4 linked regions of the Oreochromis niloticus genome follow. The protein of the gene in region 3 interacts with the protein of the main gene of each other region in a pairwise test. Links are inferred from orthologs where the notes say so. Each region holds a gene or a part of one and is shown on either strand. Other genes may lie near its edges.

Evidence for each region.
Region 1: the proteins of thap1 (region 3) and zcchc10 interact in binary tests that used the Homo sapiens proteins (3 or more experiments, as listed by UniProt). The two-hybrid records come from large-scale screens. The link is inferred for Oreochromis niloticus from reciprocal best matches to the Homo sapiens genes THAP1 and ZCCHC10.
Region 2: the proteins of thap1 (region 3) and bag5 interact in binary tests that used the Homo sapiens proteins (3 or more experiments, as listed by UniProt). The two-hybrid records come from large-scale screens. The link is inferred for Oreochromis niloticus from reciprocal best matches to the Homo sapiens genes THAP1 and BAG5.
Region 4: the proteins of thap1 (region 3) and G patch domain-containing protein 2-like interact in binary tests that used the Homo sapiens proteins (3 or more experiments, as listed by UniProt). The two-hybrid records come from large-scale screens. The link is inferred for Oreochromis niloticus from reciprocal best matches to the Homo sapiens genes THAP1 and GPATCH2L.

The regions. Positions count from the first base shown.
Region 1 is NC_031975.2:20,408,633-20,415,602, forward strand, and holds the start of zcchc10 (zinc finger CCHC domain-containing protein 10), read left to right. Parts: upstream 1-3,953; 5' UTR 3,954-4,047; coding exon 4,048-4,088; intron 4,089-6,970. Other genes in the region: hspa4a (heat shock 70 kDa protein 4a), read right to left, coding at 1,677-1,783.
Region 2 is NC_031983.2:6,396,772-6,404,224, reverse strand, and holds the start of bag5 (BAG family molecular chaperone regulator 5), read right to left. Parts: upstream 3,004-7,453; 5' UTR 2,989-3,003; coding exon 2,882-2,988; intron 2,321-2,881; coding exon of another isoform or gene 2,186-2,320; exon of another isoform or gene 1,982-2,185; intron 1,532-1,981; exon of another isoform or gene 781-1,531; coding exon of another isoform or gene 758-780; intron 531-757; exon of another isoform or gene 313-530; coding exon of another isoform or gene 281-312; intron 1-280. Other genes in the region: coa8 (cytochrome c oxidase assembly factor 8), read left to right, coding at 2,186-2,320, 3,359-3,556, 4,992-5,055, 6,065-6,155, 6,589-6,709. UniProt on the Homo sapiens protein: Co-chaperone for HSP/HSP70 proteins. It functions as a nucleotide-exchange factor promoting the release of ADP from HSP70, thereby activating HSP70-mediated protein refolding.
Region 3 is NC_031972.2:34,363,343-34,370,846, reverse strand, and holds thap1 (THAP domain-containing protein 1), read right to left. Parts: upstream 3,025-7,504; 5' UTR 2,851-3,024; coding exon 2,780-2,850; intron 2,036-2,779; coding exon 1,843-2,035; coding exon of another isoform or gene 1,829-1,842; intron 1,642-1,828; coding exon 1,223-1,641; intron 1,135-1,222; coding exon 1,113-1,134; 3' UTR 189-1,112; downstream 1-188. Other genes in the region: uncharacterized protein LOC102080580, read right to left, coding at 7,415-7,504. UniProt on the Homo sapiens protein: DNA-binding transcription regulator that regulates endothelial cell proliferation and G1/S cell-cycle progression.
Region 4 is NC_031983.2:10,367,200-10,374,585, forward strand, and holds the start of G patch domain-containing protein 2-like, read right to left. Parts: upstream 3,019-7,386; 5' UTR 2,900-3,018; intron 608-2,899; 5' UTR 604-607; coding exon 1-603.

The sequences.
Region 1 (6,970 bases), on a different chromosome or scaffold from region 3:
GACACACAGCAAGCGTTGCTATGAACACACAAGTGGAGTGTGGTGATGTCTAAGATTTGTCAACAATACACGTCTCTGAGGAGAGTCACTCAGCGGATGCTGATCTTCAATCAAGAGCAGGACAGGAAGTTGTATGGTAAATGGACTGGTTGTTATAAAGTGCTTTTCTATTCTATTTGAGCACTCAAAGGACTTTATACAGTGATGCTTGTGATGTTTATGATGTAGTAGAGAGCAAGTTCACAAAAACAGTTCAATATTTGTCAAAAAATGTCCAATATTCATAATTTTTCAAAATTTAATGCAACATATTTATGTGGGCAACAGACAAAACATTGTGCAAGTTACCAGGAAAGTATTTGTTTTCTTTTTACTCAGTAAGTATAAGCCTTTACAGACCAAGTGTGTTACGAATATTCAACATGAGATTCTGTGTTTAAATTCTGAATGTGAATTTGTCGTGTAATATATAAACACACACCAAGAAACTGATGTATAATCTTTCTATTCACCAAATTATCTTATACATGATCTACTTCTCTGACACACGTTTGCCTTGTAAAATTGAATAAAACTAAATAATTTTTAAAAAGTCCAGGTTGATTCACAATAAAGACAGCAACTTAATGATGTATACATATTTCATATAACCATGACGTAAAACCCATTTTATATATATGAAATTTTTCTGACTTAGTAGTAGGTGCACAACTAAGCATAAACTGGGCATTAATGTTATCTTTTTCTTTCCCTGTTTAATACAAACGTTATAAATAAATTACAATATAATAACTGGTCTTATTTCATTTGATTATTACTCTTTGGGAGGAAATTCTAAATTTTAATGATACATCTATAAATATACCAGTTAATCATTCAAAACCAGTGACTGTACTTATGCAGTGTATAACATTCAGTAACTGTTGTCTGCTTTATATTAACGTTAAACTCTTACAAAAGAGGAAATACTGTAAAGACTAAAAATCAGTCAGGATGACTGAAATCTAACTGATGGAATTACAAAATGCGCCATGAACCCAAATAAGCAGAACTCAAACAATATTAAACAACCTCTCTGATAACAATATGTTTTTCATATAATAAGTAGTATATAACCTTACACCGTTTAAAAAGGCAAAAAGACATAAAAATTTGCTAGAATATTCCAACAAGAGATTGGCCGCTGTCGTCATCGTACAGAGCATAACGCAAGGCGTACAATTTGCCACACGGGGCACACCGGTTGGTCGGAGCTTACGCCTTGAAGACAAGTACCACTACTTAAAAACGACAGGTGGCAAACACCGCCCGGTCGTGTTTTAACCGGCGAAGCCACACCAATTCTCGAGACTGTCATTACCGTTAATAAAACTATGAGCTCAGCTAACTTGCTTAGCTCGCCGGAGCTTCATAATCGGTCTTTGAAGGTGGTGTGCGCCTTATGAGTTAATTTCTAGATGGTTCCATGTTCACCATAGACAGGCTGAGAAATGTGTCACTAACTTACACGGAAAAGCAGTTCAATTTCCCAGCAATGAGCACAAATGATCGCTGAAAGCAGAGAAGCTGCGTTCACGTGTATTACAGCGATGCCGGTGAGACAACACTTATAAATGAAAACCTGTCCTCTGTAGCTATCCTTCACAAACTATAATAAGATTTTACTTGGTACTTACGGTGTACATCTGTCGCTGTACTCATTGGCGATTGTCTCGATTCCTCCAGCTCGGGCTACAGCTACATAGCAGCTTTGGAAGCCCAAGTCAAATCCCACCACTGACATCTTCAGCGATATGTGTCTCCTAGGTTTAGCTTTGTATACAGTATGATTTCTGTAAAGAAAATAAACCTGTAACTAGATTTTAAAACATAAAAAAGATGCTCCAGTCAAGTGAAGTTGTTAAGCTGCTCTGTCTTAAATACTTCTACTCATAATCCACACCGCTGATTGTTGCCGGTGTCTCTGATGTGTGCTGGCAGGCTGCAGCGGCAAGGTCTGCTTTACTAACGTCTCGCCCGCAGACATCGCGAGATTTACATGGTTCTAGAGCTCTCTGGACTTTTCCATATCCACGTGAAAGACTGTTCTCCAACAGTCGAGGTGTAGGGAGAAAACTCCATAAATTTCTTCTTATTTAATAAAAAAAATAACCTCTAAGTTTAAGGTTTACCGTGACAGTAACTGAAATCAACAAATGACTAGCTTGATGATTTCTGGGATCGAATCAGGGTGGGGAAACAAAAATAGACTGTGATGCAAAAAGTGATGAAGTCATTTTTTGTCCCCTTTTGTTTTTTTGTTTTTATTTCATTAGAAATAAAAAATGTAAATGGCCCAGCTCAGAACGAAGTCGTCGGGAAAATAAGAAAATATAATAACATTAAACAAATTAATTATAAATAACTAAAGCATAGCCATTTTAAAAGTTGTTGTTACTGAAAAAGATTCGTTTTTAAATACGTTCTCCTTTAATACTTAGTAAATTTCATGATATAAAATTACCAATCATTATAAATAATTAGTATAAAATAGTAGCTGACATAACACTTTTTTTGGTTTGGTTTGCAAAAACAAAATGTCATTTATTTAAGAATCTATGAAACAGAAAAGAGAGCTGATGACATGTAAACGCAGCTCTGACAAATCGTAAATGTGGGTGGGTGTGATGACACTTGACTGCTGAAAGTGTGCACTGTGTTGGTGACAGATAACTGAATGCTTAACCTCAGTAACTGTTTCCACAGAAAGTGGAAATAAGAAGCTGGGGAGAACTATGATAAACAGAATGTTTATATCCCATTATATGCTGATTGTAAACGTAACATTATTATGTGAGGCACATTTTTTCCTTTAATGTAGTATAAATGAATCACATGTATCACAGTACTGCACTAAAGTCTCATTTATTTATATTTTGTTTGAAACATAGGAAATCGATGCACCAAGATATTGAAAGATGTTCAAACCAAATGAAAATACAAGAAAAAACTGAGTTTGTGAGTTTGTACACATATTTGGATAATGCTTTTGCTGTATTGGCAGTGCGTTTGGTATCACTGTCATGCTTTCCAGACTATATTGCGTGGAGGATCAAACTCTGACTGTGCTTTTCTGCAGTCATAATTTATCAGTTTTAACAAGATCTCCAACACCATGAGATTTACATGATGGTGGAGATTCATGTCTGCGTTTTGTTTTACAGATTCTGCAGACACTCACAGTTGTACCTCTCTCCTGACCTCTTCTGCACAAACTGATGACGATTCAACTCATAAATTTCAAATTACTCTGATTTTCAGACCACTTTTTTTTTTCTAATTTAGCATACCTCAGGCTGTTTCCCATTCTTAAGAATGGCTTCTTGACACTCACTGAGACCATTTCGTCAAACAGTAGATGGATTACGAGAAGGGCCAGTGTCAGGTCTTTACTGGATTTTGTCCTGTTTCTTAAGGATGACTTTGAGATACTTCTCATCTGCAGAAGAGAGCTTTTTTTGTAATTGTCGATTACAATTTAACAATATACAATTTGAAATTGTGTGTTTAATTGTCTGATCTGTGTGGGCACCATACTCATTTATCCCTTAGATGGCTTTTTTATGCTTGAATAGGTCAGAGTTAAGTGTATTAAACAAAAACAAAACATTCCTCAGGAAATGGTTACATACAAAGACTGGACTGAAACAGGGAAAATAACAGTGAATGTCCAAAGGAAAACTTTGACAGAATTCAGGAAGCATGCAGAACTATTGCTCAAGACCACTTACAATAATGTCCTGTTTCTTAGAAGCAAAATATCAAGAATGATGAGGAGTTGCTCAAGAGTTTTGCACAGTATTATTAAAAAAAAAAAAAAAAAAAAAAAAAAAAAAAAAAAAAAAAAAAACCACTAGCCAAAACGTCAGGGCTGCTGTTAATTAAATTTTAATGATTATAAATACATGCAGTAGACCATCCTTACCCATAGGAGGCGATAACGGAGTTGATTGGACCGGAAATACGCGCTGATTTAACGCCAACAAAGAAGAAAAAGTAACCTGCAACATGGCGACTCCCATGCATAGATTAATAGCCAGGAGGCAAGCGTGAGTATGATACTATTAATCGACTGTATCGCTGTGGGTTTTGTATATTCGTGAGTACTACAGGCTGTTGAACAGCAGTGAGGTTCAGCTGCTCGAGCTCTGTGTCAGACTCAGGGGCCGGTGAACAGTGAGCGCAGCTCCAGTGCGCCAGTCTGTGCTCTACATCATTATTAGCTTGTTTATTCTTGTAGAGGGTGCCTGTTCAAGGCTGGTTGAGGCCGTGAATGCCACTGTTGTCACACTATCTGTTTCAGGAACGACAAATGAAATGTCGGGTGTCTGTCACGTTTCTGCGCTCACTTGTTTATAAAAGTCAGGCGGATTTTTGAGTCTGCCGCATTTTAGTGTCTGTGAGGAAATATTGAAAATATTTTTGCATTGAATTGCAACACAGGAATCTCCCGCTGATGCTCGTTTTTTCTCCTTTTCCCAGCCATTTATCACTGGTCTCGAGTTTGCACCTGAACTTATTCTGATACGTGAAAATGATTTCATCTCTTCTTGAGCAAGTAGAACTGCAGGGTGGTGCTTCTTTTCATTACCGTTTTTCTTTAATGAGCATTTAAATTCATAAGAATAGGAGGTCAGCCCATCTTCATATACTCTGCATATTTACTCACTGTAGAACAAGCACCTTTAAAGCACTGCTGAAGTTAAAACTTCCAACTTCTTCAGCAACTACAAAGCTGTACTTTTGTAAAGTTCATGAACATTTACAGTTGTGGTCATGGAAATTTGGGGCTTTTAATGATTTCTTTGATCTGTTCTTTCTCTAGGGTGGGATTACTGTACAGCGTACATCTTTAATGACGTTAAAAGAAAGCAAGAACAGGTTTAAATTTATTTTGGATTTTCTCTAATCCACATGGCATCAAAAGTGTATATATACAGGCTTAAATATCGCATACACCTCCACTAATATTTGGTTAAATGTTCTTTAGCAAGTTGCACCTCAACCAGATTCATTTGGTAGCCATCAACAAGCTACTGTCAGATTTTTGGCTGGATATTTGAGGACTCTACTTTGCAGAATTGTAAGAGTATATTTAAATTGGTTGGTTTCCTAGCACTGACCTGGTTTTTAATTTTCAATAGGGTTGTGGTCAGGGCCTTGGGAAGGCCATTCCAGAAGCTTGGACCCCCCCCCCCCCCCATTTAAAAAAACAAAGTTTTAATGTTTGCTCAGGATCATTATCCATTTGGAACATCTAATTGTGTCCAACTTCCAAATGTTTAGCTGTTGATTTGAGGGGAAGTTGAAGAATTTGGAAGTAGTCCTCCACTTTCATTATTCCATCAACTTTGTGCAATGTACAGGTAGCGCTTGCACGAAAACAGCCAGAGAGCAGGATGCTACCACCACCATGCTTGTTCTTAGGTTTAACAACCTCACCTTTACTCCTCCAAACATACATCTTGTGGTTGTGGCCAAATAGCACCAATTTTTTGTCTCGTTAGACCATAAAACCTTTCTCCAGAAGCCATTTGACTTGTCCATGTGGGAAGCAGCATATTTCAGTTGAGCTTGAAAGTGTTGATTTTGGAGCAGAGGCTTGATCAGCACCCTCTCAGTCTATGGCAATGTAAAACTAGCTTCACTGTGGACCGTGATGCTGATGTTCCAGCAGTTTCCAGTTCATCATCGGGATCGAGCGTTGGTGGTTCCTCAGTTGTTCCTGGGTGACACATTTGAATAAAATTTCTCCAATACAACTTCCCAGTTTGTGTAAAACTGGAATTCTCCTTCTTACTGTGGATCTTCAGTAAGTTCCTTGGGCTTTCCCAGTTCAATCCAGTAGGGCTGCACGATTTTGCATAAAATGAGAATCACGATTTTTTTTTTGCCTAGAATTGAGATCACGATTCTCTCACGATTTTCTTTTCCAATATAAATATTTATTGCACTTATTAACTGCACATCAACTTCGTAACAGTTGAAACTGAACATAAAAACAATAAATAAAAATAAAAACAATAAATGCCTCACATTTTGTGGTTGCCGCAAAATGTTGTACTGCTTGAAATTCTGTCTCCACCGTTGCTCGACACCGCGTGTATAGAGCAGGTAGTGCAACAATAGAAAAATAGTTGTGGGACGGCACTGTGTAGCGTTTGTCTAGGGTGTTGATCATTTTCCTAAATCCCTCGTTTTGCACAGTGTTGATATATCTTTGGTCAGGTGATAAGTAATAGCCTCCGTAATTTCTTTGAGCCTGCGGGAGTTCGACGTGTATAGGGAAGCGCTGTATAAGGTTCCCGTTATTGATGTTTGGGTGGTTGACCGGCACAAATTTTCTCCTGTTACTTTCTCGTCATCCCTGACGTGTTCTCCGTTGTTTTTTCCCTGCCAATTTGAGCATCACTGCACAGCTTCTGTATCACGTGGTATAAGGCTCCGCCCATGTCATTTGTTGAGCAGGAAGGGTGAGCGCTTGTTTTCATGCAGATTACGTCCTGGATCAAAATGCGGTACAATCGTCGTCCTTTTTTTTTTTTTTTTTTTTTTTTTTTTTTTAAATCGTTGTCATTTGGAAATGAGATCGCACATAAGTATGAATCGAGATCGCGATTTTCTAACGATTAATCGTGCAGCCCTACAATCCAGTGAGTGCTGTAAGCCAAATCCTTTTTATGCTGGCAAAGAGAAACTACCACTTGCAGTCAGTCATGATCACTAATGATAAGTTAATAGGCTTTGACCTTTCATGTTAAAAGACATTGTGAAACCTTCAATGCCACTTATTAAAATATTTAAGGGAGTGTATGTATATTATTTAAGCATGTATGCATACATTTGACACTTTGTGGGGATAGAGGGGAGAAAAAAAAGGAATCCAAGAAAGTCATTAAAAGTCCAAACTTACCATGACATTAACACCCAT
Region 2 (7,453 bases), on a different chromosome or scaffold from region 3:
CCTGCATGCTTGCCGGTCCTCCTGCACGGCTTTGCGCATTATGTCACCGCAGAAAATCCCGTCCCGCCGCCTGCGTGCGAACGCATCTACCTCTGAGAGCCCATGTATGTTGCCGGAGCTGCGCTACAAGAAGCACAGATACCACACCTCCAGATCTCGACAAAACGGCTCAAAGCATCTCCAGATACTGTCAGCTGCATCCTTTCTCTCTCGTGCACACACGCACACATACACACACAGATAGATACATACACACACACAGCAGCAGCATTCCTCTCACCTTTTCAAAACCCCGAACACATTCGCGCACATTTTCACGGATGTCTGTTTCCATCAGCCAAATGCTGGGCGGCTCGTGCAGGAAAGAGGCATCCAAAGGGATAAAGCCGAAATCCGGAAGATCTCGATTCTCCTGCGGTCAGCTTCAGTATCCAGCGACTGACTGTGACTGACTGACTGCGGTCGGGCTGCTGTCGCCCCTCCCACAGCCTCTACCACCAGATTTCTTCCTCCGCTGCCCTTTAAAACAACTTAATTTAAAAATAAATATGCTACCAAGGACTCATGAAACGCTTAAATGGAAACAGCCATTACAAAAACCGGTTTACAGCAGACACTCCTCTGTGAATACCATTGTTAGTGTGTTAAGCTAGCTACTGATGATCACCTGACACAGCCACACCTCAGCCAAATAACTCTGGCTTTTCAGTGTGAATACATCAACACCGCCACCTCTCTTTAACAGTTTCGCTCTTACCTGCATAGCCAGCGTACAGCCATCGGAACTGTTGCGGAAAAGTGCGCACCTCCTGTGACTAAAGCTAAACATTAGCCTACCTAGCTACCTTCGAGTACTTACTTTACAGTTCGTGAGGATATGAACTAACACGGAGTTTGTGTTTCCTTGCTAATATTAAAGAGACGCCATTACATCAGTGTTTTATTGATGTTAACAAATAAGAAATACAAGTCGATGTTTAGTTATCGCACGACACGTATATACAAATGTAAAATAAATCGCATAATCGTGTTAATATTCGGATGAACAGCTTTATTATTTTTAACCTTGTGCAAATTTTGGTCGGCCAACAATAGGCGCGCTTCATTTGGTCGTGACTCCGTGTCGTTTACCGGTGCTAAGATAAACCCTGGCTTTGCTACTGTTTAACTTTTACTTTAGTCTATTTAACTTAGTTAACAAAAAAGATTGACGAGCATTATTTATTATGTAGTAAAAAAAAATCTAACAATCTAGCATCTCCAACAATTCAATAACCGAACGGAATAGGCATTCAGATACTTTGTGAGAGCAAAAGTACTAATACCGAAACCTATACAGATAATCCATGTGGTGTTCAAGTTTAATTAGACAATAATGATATTTATCAAGCTACGTTTAGCCCTGCTCAACTTCGTCTGCTCCAAGCAGGACCCAGGCAAACCTCCTCCTCCTCCTCAGCCTGTTATCCTCAGCTCAGCTCCCCTCTACACCTGACTCTGCTGTAAAAATGCAACATTTACCACTGAAATATAATTATTAGAAGAAATATAGTCTATAAATACAGTATTAGAAATATAGCATTAGAAGTAGTAAACAACAAAATAATAATAATAACAATAACAATAATAATAACAATAAAAATACATAGGAAGGGCTGCAGCTAAGGAAAAATAAATAGAGTGGGGATTTTGGCTCCATGGTGACTGGATTTATATATTCCTAACATCTAATTTGGTTGACATCTGTTTGTTTTTTTTCTTTTAATCCTACAGCCAGTTTTTTTCATTTCGTTTATTTTTTAATGAGGAAACAAATGTGACTTAAGCTTAAATAAATAAACAAATAGACAACATAGACATATATTTATTCCCCACATTTGTGTTTATGCTCTTTCTGTAGTCTTACATTTAAAGAATATCCTTAACTGACAAGAAACCTTTCGACCCTTCATTGCGAAATGTTTTCTGTTGTCGTTTTTAAGTGAATCCGGGATTTACCGGTGAGATTGCCGAGCGCATCCATGCGCCTTGTTGGGCTCACGTGACCAAATGGCAGCCAGCGCACACAGAAGGGCACGAGCTTAGTGAAAGTTTGGTTGTGTCCTCGAGCTCAGTCCTGTGCTGTTTAATGGTTTTTAGCGTGATTTGTTTTATTTAAGTCGCCGTTTTTAGTCGGTTACTAAAAATGGCCGCCAGGACAGCTGCAGCTGCGAGACGGTCGATATGGAGGAGCTTCTGTCCTTTCAGTCTCCGCTTATCTGCAGGTAGCAGTCGGCTGTGCAGCTCCAAACAGGCAACCCAGAAGGACAAGCCAGTAAAGGTTTGTATAATGACAATTTATTACATTTATACACGGTTTAAAGGGCTGCCATTTGATAGCTATAGACGGCTGTTGTTGTTGTTGACGATCACGTGTGGCGCCATTTTTTTATGCCCACATTAAAGACGTGTGTACGAAATAAGCTGATTTTTTTTTTTAAACGTTGCAGGAAATAAAGTGTTGTTCACAAAAATATATTGCAGTGCTTTAGACATTATTAGGGTTAAATCGGTGTTACGTCTGTTTTAATGATACAGTTGTAGTATAAATATTTGTAGGAAAATAATGGAGAACAATTTAAAATATTATGGTTTAAAGTTATATTTTAAGACCTAAAGTTTCCAGCAATACATCTTCTTAGATTTCATTTTTTAACCGTTTCAAAATTACATGCATTTGTTGGAGTTTGTGACTGCAGACGTTTAATAATAACTGTTTAATAATATAGTATTTCTTTAAAAATGTAAATACATCTACTTTACATATAAACGTGCATTGATATGCCTGTCAGTAATCAGACTGAATTTGCTGACACAATGTTTTGCATTTGGATTGTTTTACCTCTGTTTTCGTCTCTTAGCCCTGGAGCGTTTTTTATTCCTCGCTGCTCTTTCCGTCTTGAAGTCTGCTGGGTAATGATAAGCTGTCTGGTGTAGGTCACTTTTCATTTAAAGCCACGTGATGTGCATCTGCTGTGTGGAGTTTCAGTCTTTAGCAGACTGTCTTTAAACTTGACTTCCAGATGATAGCTGCCCGGTGCATTTCTCATCAGTGCGGATGTGGCTGCGTTGGTGATGCTAACTTTGCATGTGGAATTCAAACTACATGGTATTTGTGTCTGATGAGCTCATCGCTGTCATATGGGGTTTGCATAGGTGAAATTTGGGACATCTTCAGCCTTCTGACTGTTGTCACCTGCAATTCCACGCTCAACTTTTGTGTTAACACCCTGTATCTTTCCCACTAAGTTATTTTTGTGCGGACACTGTGCTGTCTGAACCCATCATTACAGTAGTTTCTTCTTCTTCTTTTACATAGAGATCTACATATAGACCAGAACCCAGCTCCACACATGACTGGGTCGGTCCACCAAACCCGCTCTCCAACCTACGGCCAATTATTTACCACATCCCGGACAATGAAACAGAGCTGGAGAAACGACTGAGAAACCTGAGGCAGGAGACAGAGGACTGGAACCACAACTTCTGGGCCAAGCAGAACATCACCTTCAGCAAGGTTACTGAAATACTTTTTACAAAGTGTTTTTCTGGGGTCAGGGACTGGCCTCTGAAAGCTAGTTTATCTATCAGAAGTCTCATTTGTAGGTGGGGTGAAAAGCCAGTCCATGTGGAGAGTAAGGTGGGTATTGTCTAAAAATAGGGAGCACAGTGTAGAGAGAGAGAGAAGCATGCATAGTGCTGCTTTTAACTCTTGAGATGGAAACTGACAAAGATACAGTGGGGAAATTAATTCGATCCCCTGCTTTATTTATACGTTTTCTCACGTTTTATGGTAGCTTCATTTTATGGAGACAGAATATCCCCAAATCCCAAAAACAAAACACTCAAGCTTTACCCTTGAGTTGCCAAGCTGCAGTTTCTGTAAAGAGGAGTGAGTCGACATCCCTCCTGAGATGTCGATATTTTCATAGAAAAATAGAAAGTTGTGGTAAAATTGGTTCTTTTAAGTCATCTGAGCACCTGACATGCAGTTTGGAAGAGAATAAAACTCATTTAAGGCTAGTTAGATCATCAGTTAAGACTTTGCTGGCTGTTCTGCCCTTCTGAAAATAAGCTGAAAGGTGGTGGGTGGTGTAAAGCAGGCATAGAAGCGGTTGTTGGTTCATTGTGGGGCAGGTGATTTCAGAGTATGAATAAGAGTGGGAAGTTGATGTGCTCCAAGAAAACCTTTAGCTACAGAGGAAGTGGAGTCTTTAGTCTTTGTAGAGAAACTGAAGGTTACTCCTAAATTAAATTCCTAAATTGCACATGAGGGATGAAGTGAAAGTGTGCATCCAGAAGAATTTGTTTGTGATGTTGTCCTGAGAATATCAAGATGATGTCTTCCAATTTATTACAGTTTAATATTTATTTATGATGATTCACATTGTCCTGCTACTGCTGCTATTTATTTCATATGCAGGTATGCCGTACTGCCGCTTAAAATCCAATTAAGCAAACTGATATTAGAAGAAAATTCATCTGTAGCTGTTACAAAACAAAACCGGGTGAGCGATCCCTGTCGGCTTGTTAGTTCACTTTTCTTAAAAATAAAATGGAAATTAAATTAAACACAAGATAAAGTCCACTAACTGCATTATCTTCCCTGCCAGCTTCCTACTTGCATTAGCATCATGCTGTCATTTCCATCATTATTAATGGAGACTGTAATAGCAGTGGATGTAATTAATCTCTGCGTGCTGAGCTCGTACGTGTGTAAAATCATTTCACCAGTAGAGGGGAGCATTGTACAACTAATGTGTTCTGTTAGGGCCCAGCTATGTAAGAGATTACAGTGAGGAAACAGTGAGGAAAACTGTAGGTTTTATGTGGACCCCAGTCCAAATCTGATTTAACGACCCTTTAATTAATTTTAAGAATGACCTCATTTAAAATTACAGTTAAAGCTTAAAAGGTTTGTTTGTTGTTTGTTTTTTTTACACTGTCTGCAGGAAAAAGAAGCTTTTATCATTTCACAACTGAAGGCAAAAGGCTTGACTCTGCGTGATGAGGACGGTGAGGACATGCAGCCTTTTCTGAATATTTCACATTGTTGGTTGGGTTTGCACTTAGGCAGTTTTTAACCAGCTCAGATGGGTGTACTATGAAGCAAGATTACTGGGTGAGTGATGTAAGTCGACCTTGATGTAAGTGAAGGTGGCTCCTTTATACCTGGCTAGATCACCATGGTAACTTATGCTGAACACATAACCTGGTTTGTACCAGTTTATTTTTAGAGTTTCGATTTAAAGTTTTCACAAATTCTTTTAGTTACAGTGTCTTGTAAACACAATATTGATTCTCTGCTGGATGAATACATATATTTGCAGTCTGTAGAGCTTAAGACTGCAGTTTATCATTAGATTTATTTGATTTTTATCACCAAGAAAACTTATTTGGACAATAAATGATTTTCACTCTGATCTTGTGAGAAACGAAAGTAATTCCCACGTCTCCTTTGTTAGGCTGTGTAGGCTGTGGGTGACTTGTCAGAGCTGAACACAGCGAGAGCACCGATGTGTGGCTCTGACATCAGAGATAAACATTGAAGCTAAGCTCTCAGCTCTTGTGATGATCAAATCACTAAATTAACAATTTTCTGCAGCATTACTCGTACTTTCAGCACCAGGGTTGCATTTTACTGCATTTATTTAACATTCTTAATAGATCTCTATCCCCCATTCATGTGATAATGTCTCTGATTGGGGTAGGTGGTGCTCAGCTGATCCATTCTGTGCTGTCTGAAGTGTCAAAAAACACATCAAACAGCCCTTTTTATGTGAGCACAGAAAGCCGGGGTTACCAGAGAGAGTTAATAACCACTGTTGTGATGCCTGCTATCTCTGACTGAGGTTTTTTGGTCAAGTCAGCCAACACAAAGAAACCCTGGCTTTGTCGAACTTGCTTCGTAGCCTGCTCCTCAGGAGGCACAGTAAACAGCAGTTTGTTTTTCTAACAGCTGGTGAATTGCAGGGGAGATGTATCCTAATGAGAATATAACACAGTCTGCTGTGTCTTCCCTCAGGACGACGGCGGTCCCTGAGCAGCGAAGAGATGGCCACGTTTTACAAAAACTTCCTGGACAAAAACAGAGTACGACATGCAAATTACAACAAGTGAGTTGTTTTGTCTCCCATGATGCCGCTGGGTGGGTAAGTGAGTGGGTGGGTGGGTGGGTGGTTGGGTTGGTACATGTCCCTCTGCAGCAGCTGTGAGCTTTAACTGCACTGTATCACCTCATCTGCAAAGAACAACAAACCTCACAGGCTATGAAGAAGTTTTGTGTGAATTAGCAATGCAAAGTGGCTGACTTGTCTTCATGTTGGCAAAGCTTTCCGCCCACACACATCACCTCAGTAGCATGCGTGGGATTTAATCTCTAACTTTTGATTGTTATATTTATTATTGTTTCAATTTAAACTCCGTCAAAGCACAAATGTTTCCCTTTTCTCCCTTCTGGTGTTATTGTGCATTTCCCTGTTTGAATCTTTATATCAGCACATTTATTACACTGTGCAAAGTGAAACATTCTGTTTTTTGTGTATCCAGGGAATGGTACAGACGTAACTTTACCATCACCTTGCTCATGGCTCGAGTCACCCTAAACAGTATGTGGAGGACAGTTACGGAAAGACAGAGCAGCAAGAAAAACGGCACTCCTACCAGCTGATAGCAAAGAAAATACACACACCCCCACCCTCCTGTCAAAATATCAAATGCCTTGGCTATATTTTTGTGCACTTCTGTTACTGCTTCATGTTTATTCAGGCTCTGCAAATGACTGTAAATTATTCTGGAAAAAATAAAACAAAGCAAAACATGTGAGGTATTTCTTTTTAATTAATTAATTAATAGTTTTCATCTTTTTTTAATAGTTAAAAGTGTGGATTGTTATGTCACGGTCTCTTTGGTCAAGAGGGTTTTTGGTTTTTTCTTGGGGCGGGGATTATAGATACATTATAAAGCAGATTTAACTGTTACGCCCAGTTTGTGTCAAAACAAAGACAACCTGTGATAACCAGTGAGATCGGTGCTGACCACCTACAATAAATACAAGAAATTAAAGTTTAAGAACTTTGTCAAAAACATATTAAAACTAATTATTTCATTTTTTAAATCAAGCAAAGAACAAACTGAAATCATGTTTAACTGGGGATTCTAAAAGGCCCATAGGCGTGAATGTGAGTGTAAATGGTTATCTGTCTCTGTATAAGACCTGGGACAGACAAGCTACCCATCCAGGATGTACCCCGCCTTTCGCCCTATGATAGCTGGGAAAGGCTCCAGCCTCCTGCAACCCCTAAACAGAAGATGGATGGATAGTTATTTTCCAGATTAATCATTTGGTGTAAATATTTTTTGAGAGCTGGAATGTAAATTTGTCTGTCTCTAAAGCACTTTGAGTTAACTGTAT
Region 3 (7,504 bases):
AAGGAAGCACAAAGAGCCAAAGAAGCTGCTCGTATGGCTTCAGTTTATTGCAAATCAACAGTAACAAGCAGTGTTTTTGCATCTCAAGAAAACACTGAAAAATGTAAAGCTTTTGCAGCAAATGTACTTTAATCAGCCTTTAAGTAAAAAACAAAACTCTGAAAACAAAACAGAGAAGCTTAAGTGAGTTCATTTCATACTGTCAAATTTTATTTCCATATTAAACAGCAGACTGTTTAATGGGGATCTATCCTGCACATTTCCAGCATCGTGTTTTTAATTCATAAACTCTCAGAGCAGCTTTGCATGAGTCACAGTTCAAAATAATCTCTCTTTTTTTGATACCGGGTTTTCAGTTCATCCTGTCTGAAACGAGGCGTTTTAGCCTCTCTGAGTTTGAGCAGTCTTTCTTTCTGATTAGCTGGGTATTGGCTTCTGTGCCCAACATGACCATAGCAGGATATCATCTATGACACCATACAAATCAAAGAGTAGAAAAAAAGTGTTTATTTTCCTGATGAATTTGTCAATTTTTTCTCATAAATTTACCATTTCTTACTCTTATAAATTTGTTATTTCTTCTCAGGTTTACCAGCTTTTTTTCTCTTTAATTTGCAAAACTCAAAGCCTAAAGGCTCAGATCGATTCTTCTAACGATCTACCTCAGATGCCTCCGAACATCATGGTTCATAACGGCCTCGGCTCTCACCTTTGAGCTTCGACACCGTGGGCTCTTCAGATGAAAACTGCTCAGTTGTGGCTGCAGACCCAGCTCTCCTCACTGGGATGATCCTCCTAGAGAAATTCAGCTCAGTGTAAAACAGAAGCTGTTGTTTGCTCCGGCAGGGCACAACGAAATCAGTCAAGAAAATCCAGAGATGACGATCACACCTCAGCTTATGTGGTAACACCTCGTATATGTGACAGAACATAAAAAGCAGGAAGAACAGTTCTCTTTAAAGGAATAGTTCAACAGTTTTCTTTTTTTATTTTTTTGGGAGAGGGGGCATAACTGTGCTTTGTTTTCCTCACAGTGACAAGAACCATCAGTCTGTGTGCGTCAAGTATGAAGAGCTGTTGGCTCTTGAAACCAAACCGAAAGCTTTAAGAAGTCATTTAAGTGCAGCCCGAGCTCTAGAAAACAAAACGAAAAATAGAAAGATATGTGAATATTTGCGTCCTTCAGCTCAGCAGCAGATGAAACTTCTCCACTCCGCCTCACTCGATGCCTTTCAAACTGTGGTAGATGTGTTTCGGCAAAATCACGTATCCCTCACTGAAGCCCGGCTCCGGCGCCGACTGACGGGGCATCCTGGGTGATGCCTCCCGGGCGGCCTTCAGCCTCTTGAGCTGCCTCTCCTGCCGCCGACACTTCTGCTGCGTCGTCTTCAGCTTCTTCCTCAGATGTTCCACCTGCTCCTCCAGCAGCTCAATGCGCCTCTTCTGCTGCGCAGAGTCCTCTACCGTGTAGTTGTGGTCGCAGGAGACCGCCGTCGTCGTTGTGGTCGTTGTCATCGTGTCGCTGCAGGTGTCGAGCGGGTTACTCTCAGGCTCCTCCTCCTCCGCTGGTTCAGAGGTCAGAGGCAGAGAAAGCGGGAAGAGGTTCTCAGAGGGGAAGGGATCCTCCAGGGACTCTGACTGCTAGAGAGAAAAACACGAGTTAACTAGTCGCTAACTGACTGAAGCTGAAGTTAACCTGATCTACTTATCTAGCTTAGTTAACCTATCTGCTTAATTTGAGCTGTCTCTCAGATCTGTGCTCTTATTTTGAAATAAAGAAAACGTGACTGGAAACTCTTGGGAGACTCCTGGAAAAAAAAAGCCCTGCCTTAGTCAGGTCACCTTGATGCTGAGGTTGAAGGTGAACAGCGACGGCACAGCGCTCTCCTTCAGCACACGGTTGTTGCACTCCCTCTTGAAGGAGTCTTCGGTGAAGTGCTGGGAGCAGATGTTGCTGTACTTTGTTGGCTTGAAGTTGTTTCTCCTCATCGCAGCCACCCATTTACAGCAGATATCTGGACGCGCCAGAGGAAACCTGGTAAACAAGTGATAATAATACACAGAAGTAAATGTCATAACGGTTCTGTATGATTTGGGAATTATTTTCTGTTATCAGTTTTAATGTAATTAATTAGTTTAAGTTGCTTATGAAGTAAACTTTATGTCTTTGGTAAAAAATAAAACTAAAACAAACAAAACAAAAAAACCTGGAGCGTTAACCCTTTGTGTTACTTGTTTTGAGACTAAAGTTGGGGACTAAAGAAATGCGCATCAACTCCCGCCAGTAAGCATAAACACATTAATCCAAACTCCAGTTAAATTTGGAGGAATTTACTGTCCCCTTATTTACGGAAAGGCAAACATATTTAAGAATGTAACTCCAAGACTTTATAAGTAAATGTGTTCCGTGCTGATAGATTCGGCTTGTTAAAAAGCGAAACAGCTGTAAAGTTTTAGTAATATCTAAATTTGTGTGCCTCGGTATAGCCACTATAGAGAAACTTGTGACTTTAGACTTGATCAAAACATTTGATTTAATCAAATAAAAATAGCATCTGTTTACTTTTATGTAGCCGGATTTTAGCAGTGAAACCTGGAAACACGTAAAATGTCCCGTGTCCTACTCCACATGTTTCGTACTGTTGAGGAAGAGCAGTTAATCTTTAATGAGGCAGATTAGTGAACGCAGGCTGGTGGACGTTGCTCAACCACCATGTCAGGACTGCTAATGCTACCCAGCTCGCTGACACACACACAGACACACTGGCACTTAACTTACTTGTGGAATGAAATGTCTTTGTCTTTGTGGTAGCGGTTCTTACAGCCGTACGCTGAGCACGTCTGAACCATGGCTGAATATCCGGACAACACTCACTCACAGCCGGACCAGAACTCCACGAAGCTCCGCTTGTGCTTCTTGTCACCCTCCACACAAGCTTCACTGCCACTAACAATGATGGCGGCGAAGAATTAGTCACCTGACCGGCATCCCCGCCTCTAATTGGTGGAGCTTTCTGTCGTTACTTTCTTGTAATATCTCAGGAAGTCCAGTCTGTTATTTTTTTTTTTACGAGCCTTAATTTAAATACCAAATGTAAAATTTCAATCAAATCAAGTCTATTTTATTTAACTAACACATTTTGAAATAAAAGCTGACACAAAGTGCTAATCTCAATTATTTTCTGTTGAGTATAGAGTAAATGTGAAGGACTATAAAACATTAGAAAAGCACAATTTAAATACATTTTACCAAATTAAATATCAATTTTGTATTATAATTTTTCATTATTATTTTAACTGCTGTAACAAAAGAATTTCACAAATACAGGATAATGCATTTGTCCTCTTTCATTTATTATTCCAGAAATTACCATAAGACGTAATGTTTTATTTCATAGCTCAGCCCTGTAGATTCATGCATAATGTGTTAGATAAATAAAGACTTTCAACACATAATCTCTTAGTCAAAAAAGAAGAAACTTTATTATTAAAACAGGTGTTTTCAACACCGTGGGTTGGTCTAAAGAGCTTTATACAGCAACAAAAGACCAGGAATACACAGAAAACAGGTAAATACACAGCACTGATAAGTACCTATAATGTGTGTGTATTATCACTACACTGTATATCATACTGTGTCCTTATCTTGAAAGAAAAAAAGAGTCACAAGGCTCTCAAACAGTCTGTGGGTTCAACTTTAGCAGCTGGAAACTCAACTTAAAAACATTCAGAGTTTCTCACCAACTTTGACAGAGGCTGCTGAGGTTCAGAAACATGATGTGTTTTTTCCTATTATTACGACTGCACGTGAATGCACCTTTACAAACAGGAGAAGCGAGGATTTAAGAAGAAGGATGGAAAGAGAAATTTCTCATCATTTGTCCATTTTTGTTTTAGCACATGCCTGTGGCCTATTAGAAGACTTTACAAAGGAAGAAATAAATAGAAAAATACAAAATAGTTTTGGGATAATTCACCCACATTTCTATGTACAGGAAACCCCCACCAAAAAAAAGGAACCAGGTGGGATCATTTGATTTTTGCAAACAAAATTTACTGATGGAGAAATGTCCACAATCTCAGATCAAACATGGGCAAAAATCACACAAATTTTACTTTATTTTACACAGTTAGACTCTTATTTTGATAGTTCTGTCCATACTTCCTGTCAGTTGTATGAAATTCACTGCCACAGTCATCACGTTTCTTTAAACAATGCACAATCATATCAACAGGTCACCGGAGTGATCCAGTAGCTGTTGGATGACGGGTTAAAATCCTGGACAAGGACCATGTGCTATCTGTCAAAAAGCCCAAACAAGCCTTCTTTAAACAAGGAAACTAAAAATTAAAGGTCACGACTTTTCAACTGTCAGCTCTAAGAGAAATTGTAAGAAAAGAAAGGGGAAAAAAGTATTTTACACAACTTTTTTAATGCACCCCTACCATCATAAGGTGACGCCAAAAGCCTGTTTGATGACTATGACTAAGCACATTTTACTAATTACTTAGTGTTGAATTGTATGGCAAAAAGCTACCATAAAGTTGAGTGTAGCAGTCTTAAAATAGTAAATAAACACCAACAAGTGACCACCGCGAGGTACGGGCAACATGTCATCACAACCAGTCTTGGTCATTTGTTTGGTTTTAAACAGCTGCCACTGAATATCGCATAATACTTCTGATTTAAATGCAGTAAGTTCTGCCAAACTGATAATTGGCAGTTTTGCACACAAACATGATGATAAGCCCAATTGATTTCTGCATCAGAGGATGTATGTGAGATTTATCAAAGAATTCCAGATGTACCAGAAAGTAGCATAAGAACAACCTCATTGACTTCTTAAACCACAATGAGCTCATATATTTGGGCCTTTTAAACACTGGTAATCTAACAAAAACAGAGTGCCAACTTAAACATTCATGATGACACACCAAGTGATGACCCCTGGTAACTCCAGGAAGCCAGTGCTTAAATACCAAAACTGCAGTTCCTCTAATGTCCACTTGAGGATCCAAAAGCAAGTCAGTCTCCCCCAGACTCTCATGTTAAATGTCCAATTTTACAGCAGAAATAAACATGTTTTGCAGCCTGATACAAGAAAACCGTTTCACTCTGTCAAGTTTTTTCAACCTTCATAACAACTGCGCAACCATCACCTTGGCTAATTGGAGCTTTTTTAATGCAGACTTGAGTGGTTAAAAAAAGGGCAACGGGGACTTCTTTAGGTTTCTTTAGACTTTTCATTTTTCATCCAGGAGGCTTTTCCAGTTCAAATTATGAGAAATGGCGTGTGTCATTACCGTCACTGAGGCCAAAAGGTGGCACCTGTCTAAGACAAGTACTGTCAACTACTTTATTTTTAAGCACTCAAGACTACCATGACCTGCACAACTGATACAGGCATTTTTAATGCAGTTACTGACAAATAATTTGGTTTTCTCTGTGATTTATTATGGACAACCACTATACTGCAAGTGTACCAGGAAGTAAGTATAAGGATAGCAACAACGTATTATTATGTCAGCAAAGTGAACTTGCAGGAAAATCTTTCGAAAATCTTGTGTCATTCAACATTCAAAGGTATTTAGCTGACGGTGTAATAACAGAAACATAGAGACGGCTGGAGAGAACAGACGGACAAAACTATCAAAATATGTAAATATTTTTTCAAAAATAAAGCAACAGATTAAAAAGCTGCTGTACAAGAAAAAAAAAATCAATCGGTCTGCGAGGCCTTCACACTTAGAAAAGATCGTCAAACAATGAAACTCAACCTCAGCAAAAAAGAGTGAAAGAAAAAGAAGGAAAGTGCAACAGAAAGTCAGAGTGCTGTCGGTTACTGAATGTCTCTAAATACTCCAATACCCAGAATCCTCCGGGGTCGTGAAATCAGAGTTTTTAGCATATTCACAACACTGCCATCAAGAATTCACTAAAGACTCACAGCAGTGTCTTCTGGGAGATGCAGTCGGCTTCTGAAAGATCACACGCAGTCAGAATGCAACGATTACACTCAGTGATGTGATGTGGAAGCCCCGCCCACTAAGCGGCTCTTCCCTTTTGCAGGAAGGAAAGCAGCTTCTGTGCTCCACATCCAGGAAAGCTTTCGCTCTGGTTTTAGCTTCACCAGCTGATCTGCTGCCACAAATTTCATCAAGCTGAACTCAAGAACTGCTTACTGGCTTTTTGTTGGACTTGCAGGCAGAGCTGTGACTAAAACAACAGGAAATGAGCACATTTTTGTATTTTTTAAGGCTAAAGTAGCAAAACATCTGCCGGTTCAAATATGCAAAATATAACCCAGATGTGTGGCCCACATCTGCCTGTGACTCAGTGGCTGCCCAGGTCCACCATACATGTGCCAGCTGCCAGCTGTGTTGATGACCTCTGGGCCATATGTGGTGATTGCCAAATGCCAGAACTGAGCAACCAGAGGGCCAAACGTGGGCCAGAAAAAAGCTGATTTTTTTTTAGTTAAGAGAGAAAAAAAAAAAAAAAAAAAAAAAATCACATCTTATAAGAAAGCTAATTTCATGCGAGCAAAGTTAATATTGAATATGTACGTTGTTTTTTTTGTTGTTTTTTTTAAATCACGCGTTGCACACACCTCACAGCCAGCTGCATGTAGTGGCCTGTGTTTTACTGCAGGACTCGTTCTAATGAAAATAAGCTCATAATTTGTTATCTGATTGAAAATAAGTGCTGTTTTCTAAAAACACGTATTATGTGTTAATGATGTTTTTATTGTAAATTTGTCATATTTTTTCATGAAGTTCAAAATTTACAACTTTAAGTTTAAAACTTTTTTTTCCTGAATTTTACATCACACAACTAGGGCCTTTCATTTTTTTTCTTTCAATGGCCCGAATACAAACAAAATAAACTTTTCCACAGACAATTCAACACTTGCTCCTTTCACTGGTGGGCTGTGAGTTTCAGATGGACAGCTGCAGGAAGGCTGTGGCTACCACTCCCAGACAAAACCTGTTAGTGTTACAACAACGAACCAAAAAAAGCTAATAAATTATAATAAAGATGTTGCTCTGATCGTAAGTCACTCTGATAGTGCAGGCCACCTGGTTGAATCCATCTTAACCATTATATGGTTTTGCTTGTGATGTCATACAGGGCAGCAGTGCTTGGAGCCTCCAGCTGTTGGCGGATTAACATTGAAACATCTGCAGCATGTAAATAAAACTGAGCGCTCAGCAGATCAGCAAATGTTTATATTTTCAATCTGAAGCAAAAAAGTACCTCACATTGGGGTCAGAGACGCTGTCCACCTCCTCTTTTCTTCTTTTTGTTGCTTGTTACAAGTGTTCGTTGTCACAGCAACAACACATATAACCATTAGTCCTGTACAGATAAACAGCTGTACGTCATTTTGAAATGCGATTATGTCTCTCAGGCTTACTTCTCCTCCTCCTTCTTCTCTTCTTCCTCCTCCTTCTCTTTTCCTCCTTTGTCTCCCTCTGCTGCTTCTTTCTTTCTGTCCTCTTC
Region 4 (7,386 bases), on a different chromosome or scaffold from region 3:
CTTTCTCTCCCAGCACTCCTTTCCCATCAGTCTGGCTCTTTCAGTCTTTCTGTCTGCTCCCATCCAACCACCAGACCGCTTCTTTGATCCTGACAGATGCCGCACCTTAGAAGGCCTATTCCTCTGTTTCCTATCCAAACCAGAACCTTTTAAAGTGGACTGCAGTCTGACGGTTACATTTGAGGTCATGCGTTTAACTTTCCTCCGCCTCCTGAGTGGACGTCCGGGGTTATTCTCATTGAAGGAGTCGGACTCTGGCCAGGAGGACTGCCTCGCCCTGACTGAGCCTCTCATGAGGGACGGCCATCGGGTGGATGCGGTCATATCGTCAGAGTCACTGCAGTTGGCCACAGAAGTAGTGATGTTCTCCCTGTATTCTTTAGCCTCGTCCAAGCTGGACTCGGATGCCTCGATCCAGCATCGCCTGTGCTCTATCGGGTAGAGGGTGGACTCGCGAAAACGCTTACGGCCTCTGCGACGGCGGATCTGACGGCGTTGCTCCAGAGGACTCAGGACCATTTCCTCCCACAGCTCTCCAAGCTTATTCTGTTCTGAGGTCTGCTCCAGTGCAGACACCAGGTCCTGCACCAGCTCATCCATCATGGTGCTGGGAAAAAAAGAAAATGTTAGTGACCAGTTAAACTCTTTGGATGTCTTGTCATGTTAAATTGCAGTTGTTAAGTGCAGGCTAGAGGTTTATATGAAACAATAGAAACGTCCAATGTACTTTGATGTGCTCCTCCTGAAGTCACTCTCATTTTTTGAAAATATACCCACAATGTGGGCTTTTCTAAATGATTATCACCATCTTCACTCGCTGGCCAGTTTATTAGGCACACATGTTAAACCTCTTGTTAATGCAAATATCTAATCAGCCAATCACACAGCAACAGTTCAGTGCATTTAGGCATGTAGATGTATTCCTGCTGAAGTTTAAACTGAGCATCAAATGGGACTGGTCCCAGTATTTCAGAAAGTGCTGATGTACTGGGATTTTCTCACAATGGGTTATGGGTGCCAGAATGGGTTATGATGCCAGAGGAGAATGGGTAGACTGACTTTGAGCTGATAAAAAAGCAACAGAAACTTTAAATAACTACTCATTACAACCAAGATATGTAGAAGAGCATCCCTGAATGAATCTGCAGAAACCACACTGGATGACACTGCTGTTAGCTAAGAACAGGATACCAAGACTACAGTTCATACAAGATCACCAAAACTGAAAAGTAGAAAATTTGAAAAATGTTATCTGGTCTCATGATTCCCCATTTTTCCTGCAACATTTGAAATCAAATCAAACATTTAGACCGCTGCTGGTGGTGTACAGGTGCAGAGGATTTTCTTGGCACACCTCAGCAGCTCAGTATTGTTTAAACACCACAGCACACCTGGGTATTGTTGCTGAACACATCCATCCCTTTCTGACCCACCAGTCTACCCACCCTCTAATGGCGACTTCCAGCAGGATATGCGCCACGTCCCAAAGCTCAAATCATCTCAAACAGGTTTCTTGAACATGACAATGACTTCACTGCACCCGGATCTTAATCCGCTAGAGCGCCTTTAAGATGTGCTGGAACAGGAGATTCACAACACAAAATCTACAGCATCTGCCTGATTCTGTCATGTCAAAATGCACCAAAGTTTTTGAGGAATATTTCCAACACCTTGGTGAACCTGTGCCATGAAAAATGAAGGCAGTTTTGAAAACAAAAGGGTGTCCAGTCCAGTACTACCAAGATGTTCCTAATAAAGTGGCCAGTGAGTGTGAATATTCAAGGTGTAAAGAAAACAACAAGTCAAACCATTCATTGAGAAAGTCTAATGGAAATAGTGTATTTGCAGGTTGTTACTTTGCTGGACTTGCCACTAAACGACATGCCATTGTTCCCTTTTAATTTCATATATTTCTACTCTTATAATTATGCAATCATTAGTGCTGCAGCGGGCATTCTGCTAGGACAGCTGGGGTCCACCTGTCCCTCTGCAAATCAATACAAAGTTGCTTTCTTTCTTTATGGGCGGGTTCTCTTATGGTTTGAGGAAGACATAAATAATGTGCTAAACCCCGCACAGTCGCAAGAGCATCATTAATTGCCTAATATGGAAGTATCTATTGAAAGGATGGTTTGTGGCTTCATTTGGAGAATGAGTTGCAAAGTGAAACTGCTCCGGAGGGACTTAATAATGCAGTTACACGTGTTTCTTGTAATTTGTTACCTGTTTGTGTATCAGCAGCATTATGAACTATACCTTCCCAACCATCTCAGCCATGATGACTGAGGTCCATTTCAGTAGACCCAAGTAGCCAAGTGGCAGTCATAATCCCATTTTTAAAGACATGGGACAAAAAACAAACAAACAAAGAAAAACACCACCTCCTCGCAACAATCACAAAGTAAATCTACAATAGCTTTAGCGCTATAAAACATCACTAGGTTGATTTCCCCCCCCTTTAAGTCTAGCAACATAAATTCGTGGTGGGCTCATCACCGGAATTGCTCCGTGTTTGATTGCAGCGGTGTAGAAAGCGCTGCATTTACGAGCATTTGCAGGTCATCATCGGCTTAAAAGAAAAGAAAAACGATTGACATCACGTTTTATTAGCAGTAAAGAAAAGCGACCGTGTAGCTGTGCAACATCAGTGCAGCACAACAACAGCTCAGGCTGGCTGTAGTATCCGCACGCTCAGCTCAGCCTGTGTTACATAACAACAGCTCACACGTGAGCTCAGCACAAGGACAGCCACACATCTCTGTGTCCACTGCTGACAACAAAACAAGCGGTTTACACGCGCTCAACACAACAGCCGCCTCACGGACACGGTGCGCGCGGATCTATTCGGATGCTATTTAACGCCAGGGAGAAGACATCCCTCTGCGTTTCGAGCACTCACCAGTCGCAGCTTGTCTTGTTTTGTTTTCAGCACAGCTGGGACACCAGACGCACTTCCGCCCTGCAGTCCAGCCAATCGGGTGGCTCCGCCTCGCTGTGACTCCTCCAAACAAAAAAAACAAAAAAACAGTGCGCCACTGCACAGTGCTGTCGAAATACAGCCTGCAAGGCAGATAACACCAGCGTCTGATCATTATGGCATCACTTCAGGAAACCGACGGAGTGCTGGTGTGGAAGATAATGTCAGTCAAATCTGACTTTGAAAATGTGCAAGTTTTCTTCCATCAGGGTTTACAAAAAGTTGTGGTGGTAGGAAAGGAGGACTGTAGGGGGACTGCATGCTGACGGTCACAAGGGACAATTAGAATGAGCTTATGCTTATTTAGTTAGTGAAGTACCTGAGAAAGTCCCATTCAGTTTAGATCATGTGTGTTTTTCATAGACTAAATGTAAAACTGCATCTTGTATGTTTTGTATATATTTAAAGAAATAGCTCTATGTTAACATCAGACCACCTCTCAGTGTTAGCAGGCTGTCTCACACAAACATACTCCACTCCTGTTTTGATGGGATTTGGTAACTTTAGCTGGATACCTTTGCTTCCACTGTGTAGAATTCAGAGGTTTTAGAAACTATGGATTGTTTTCTCTGCTAAACACTGCTAATGCACTGTTTTTCTATGCTGATCTAAAATGAAACTTAAAATTGTGCACCCGTGAGTTGGATATATAGTGCAAAAGTCTTAAGATACCCTTATTTCTATGTAGTTTCCTTGCAAGTAGCCAGACTTTCTTGTCATTTTTGAAGTGGTCTTAAACATTTGTTCTTCAAGCTTTCAGAAGTTCTGTCAAAGTTTTTCTTTGGACATTGGCTGATTTTTAACTTGTTACCAATCCAGTCATTGTACCACATCTGATAGTCTGATAGTATTTAATAGGTACATTGTTAAGAAACAGAGACAAATCCAGGAGAGACATGACACAGGACCTGAGAGATGCATCTGGCCCTGATTGGGAACAGCTTCATTTTGCAGTATGACAGTGATTCCAAACACACTTCCAATGCAGTAAAAGCATACGTGGATAGAAAAACACAGAATTACAACACCATCAGTCATGGATTGGCCTCCACAGAGACTGGACCTTAACATTATTGAAGCAGTGTGGGATCAAGGACAGAACAAAAGACAGCCAACATCCAAAGAAGAGCTTTGAATGTCCTTCAAGAAGCCTGGAGAACTATTCCTGAAGACTACCTAAAGAAATTACAAGAAAGCTGCCTAAGAGAGTTCAGACTATACTGAATAATAAAGGTGGTCATACCACATAGTGACTTTCAAGTTTAATAGAATTGTTCAAACTGTGTTTTTGCCTTATATACTGTATTTCCATTTATGCTTACACATTTTTCAATGAATCTCTTCACCCATTTCCCAAAATAAAGACACAAGGGATGGCTCATGACTTTTGCACAGCACTGTATAATATTAGCATTAACCAAAGTCAACTTCATTAGTGTGTTACCTAAATCTGAAGTCAGCAATGCAAATACACCAACGGTGAGAGCTGACTTTGAATGAGGAGAAATATTGGATCCAATAGTAAACCGGGAGAAAACCATTTTTCTTCCTATTTTTTCATCTCGAAAGGTGAAAAATCCTCCTAAAAAATGCCTGAAGGAGACTTTTTAAAGCATCCATCCATTTTCTTAACTGCTTGCCCAGCTTAGGTTTGCACTGGTGAGTGGGTAAGTGGGGGCGCTCAAGGCAGAAAGGCCCCAGCTGACGAAGAGGTTCAAACCAGGAATCTCCTTGCTGTTAGGTGACACTGCACCACTGTTCTGCTCTTTTCTCAAGCATATCTAACACTATGTGAAGGCTTCAGGTATTATTAGTAACAGGTTTGCACTGTGTTGTGAGTATGCAATTTACTCATTCTCTTTTTAAGACACTGTTGTGTTGGATTGCACTGTTAGACCTCACAGTGTATTGCAGGGCAGTATGTCATATAGCTGTTCAGTGGGAAATGATCTGTCACACAGCTTGAATAAAAGAAAAATCAAAGAGCTTTCTATTTGCTGCATGGCTGTTGTGGAATTGCACAAGCTTCTATAGCCGCTCCCAGCTGTGTTCATCCATAAAATGATTGCATACATAGAAACATGCATATGCTGTGCATGTATCAATGTTACATTTTGTCCAATTTCTTCAAACCAAAATCCCAAACCATGTTAAATTTGTAATTACTGTAGTTCCAGATGTCAGATTACAGTAATTCTGTTGCTGCCACACTTTTTAAAACAATAGTGGACTAATAAGTGTTTTATGATTGAAGCTCACTGTAATGATGTTTTCTCAATGCTAGTGTTGTTGCTGAATGAAGCAGAAAAAAAGTAATTTACCATTTCTTTCATCTATCAGATGAATGCAGCCCAAATAATAAAAAAGAAAAGTCAGTGAAAATGAGTACAAAAGCCATTTAATCGCTCTCATCTTCCTCTTAATAACTGCAAATTTCCCCTTGGGCCCATGGGAGAGGGCCTCTCTGTGCCGCTGCCACCTTATCTGTCGCCTCCATATTTCAGCATGCTGAGCGGCTCCCTCAGTACCCAGCCCCCGGCCTCCTCTCATTGGGCCTGTGGGGAAGCTGGGCTCCTGGGCCCGCCATTGTTCTGGCCTGGGAGGAAAGTCCGGAGAGAGCCCTGAAAGCTGGAGTGTGGGAATATTAAAAAAGAAAGAAAGGAAAAAAAAACTTTAGCCACTGCTTCATTAAGTGGCAGCCTTTCACAAGCAAACATATCAGAAACAGCCCCCTTTCAGAGGCAGTAATTAGCAATTTGGAAACCTTGCCCCCTCAGGATATACTGTTTCAATTTAGTCAGCAGCTTTGGATTCTTAGGCACTTAATATTCATTGTTTCTGCCTTCTTCCCAATTTCTCGACGTACATTGTCTAGTCTTTCACTGGCGATAAAGTGTTTTATCTGTTGTGTAATTCTTCTTTTGAATGAGCTCTCTGCAAGAGAAGTTAATTTTTATAAATAATTTTCTAAGGGATTTGCAGAGAATGTGAGGGATGCGATAGCAAAGTGCTCTTCACAAAGTGCCAAAGTGAATATCATATGGAGTTTGGAGGCTTCATTCAGTAAGTGTTGGAATAAATAAGGGGACGGGGAAAGTTCCTGCAATTTCCTCTGATGAAGTTACATCTTTAATGCGTCAACGCACGCGTTCATGAAAACAAAAAAAAACAGAAGTTTGCTACATCTGGACCCCAACTTTGACTCTGCGAGGAACAATGTGACACTAAAAGTACAGAATTATGAGCTGTTATTATTAATAAACTGCTCTGTGTTTGTATCAACCCTCTGCAAAGATTTAATAGCAAATGTTTTGCAAACTGCTTATTAAGCCAAACCACACATCACACCTCAGGGGTAGCAGACTGACACTTATCTTTGTCTCCGTGGAGCCTTTGTTTCAAAATGTTACCACTTCCATTCATTTTCAATCAGCATTGTCTAATAGAAATAATTGATTTTTTTTTTTTTTGCCTCTTCTTGGCAAATGAAAAACGCTTGTGATTAAACACTTTGTCTCCAAATCTAAATTCCAAGATCGCCATCAACACTTGAGAAAAATAGGCAACTCATTAAAGCAAAAAAAAAAAAGAAGAAAAAAGAAGTAGCTAAGATGTGAAAAGAGGAGACAGGGAATGAAATAATGAATGGAGTCCGAGCGAGCTATCTTTCCCAGGCAGAGCGCCACTAGGGATGCAAACTCTCAGCCACCAGAAATGAGCTACCTATCTGTGAAAAGAGTGACTGCTCCATCCTATTTGATTTGGCTCTCCTATCAACTCTTAAGAAGATGTCAGCCTTGCTTCTTCTATTGCTCTGAGCCTTTATCAACCCGGAGACGATTTCCCGGGGAAAAAAAAAAAAGAAAGAAAAAAAGAAAGAGGGGAAGAGTAAGTGGGGGGAGAGACACATTTCAGTGCCTTTCAGGGAGCAACACTAAAGAATAAGTGTTATGCGATAAAAAGGGGGTTGTTAAATAGATCTGTCTATTTGTATGGTAATAATGATCGCTTAAAGACTCGGGTCTCCGTGACTTGTAGAACAAGGAAACAAATCTGTATTCAGGTATTGTGTTAACATGACTCTCCCAACGACCTTGTGAAACTTTCATACAGTAAAAAATGAGTTGGATTTGAGTTTTTCCCCCCCTTCTGTTTGTATCATTCTTTTCTCTGTCCTTTTAGAGAAGGGGAGGGGTTACAGAGCTGAGCGCCAGCTCTTTACATTTTAAATCATCTTTGTCAGAGCCGTTTTAGACAGATGGGAATGATTTGAAGAGTTCTCTAACAGATCTGTCTCTCTTTAAAAAACTAATCCTACGAGGGTGTCTCTTAATATGTTTCGATCATTGTTATGTGGCATCTTTTTCATCGCTGAAAAATATTTAACTGCAAGTAAAAGCAGACTTTTA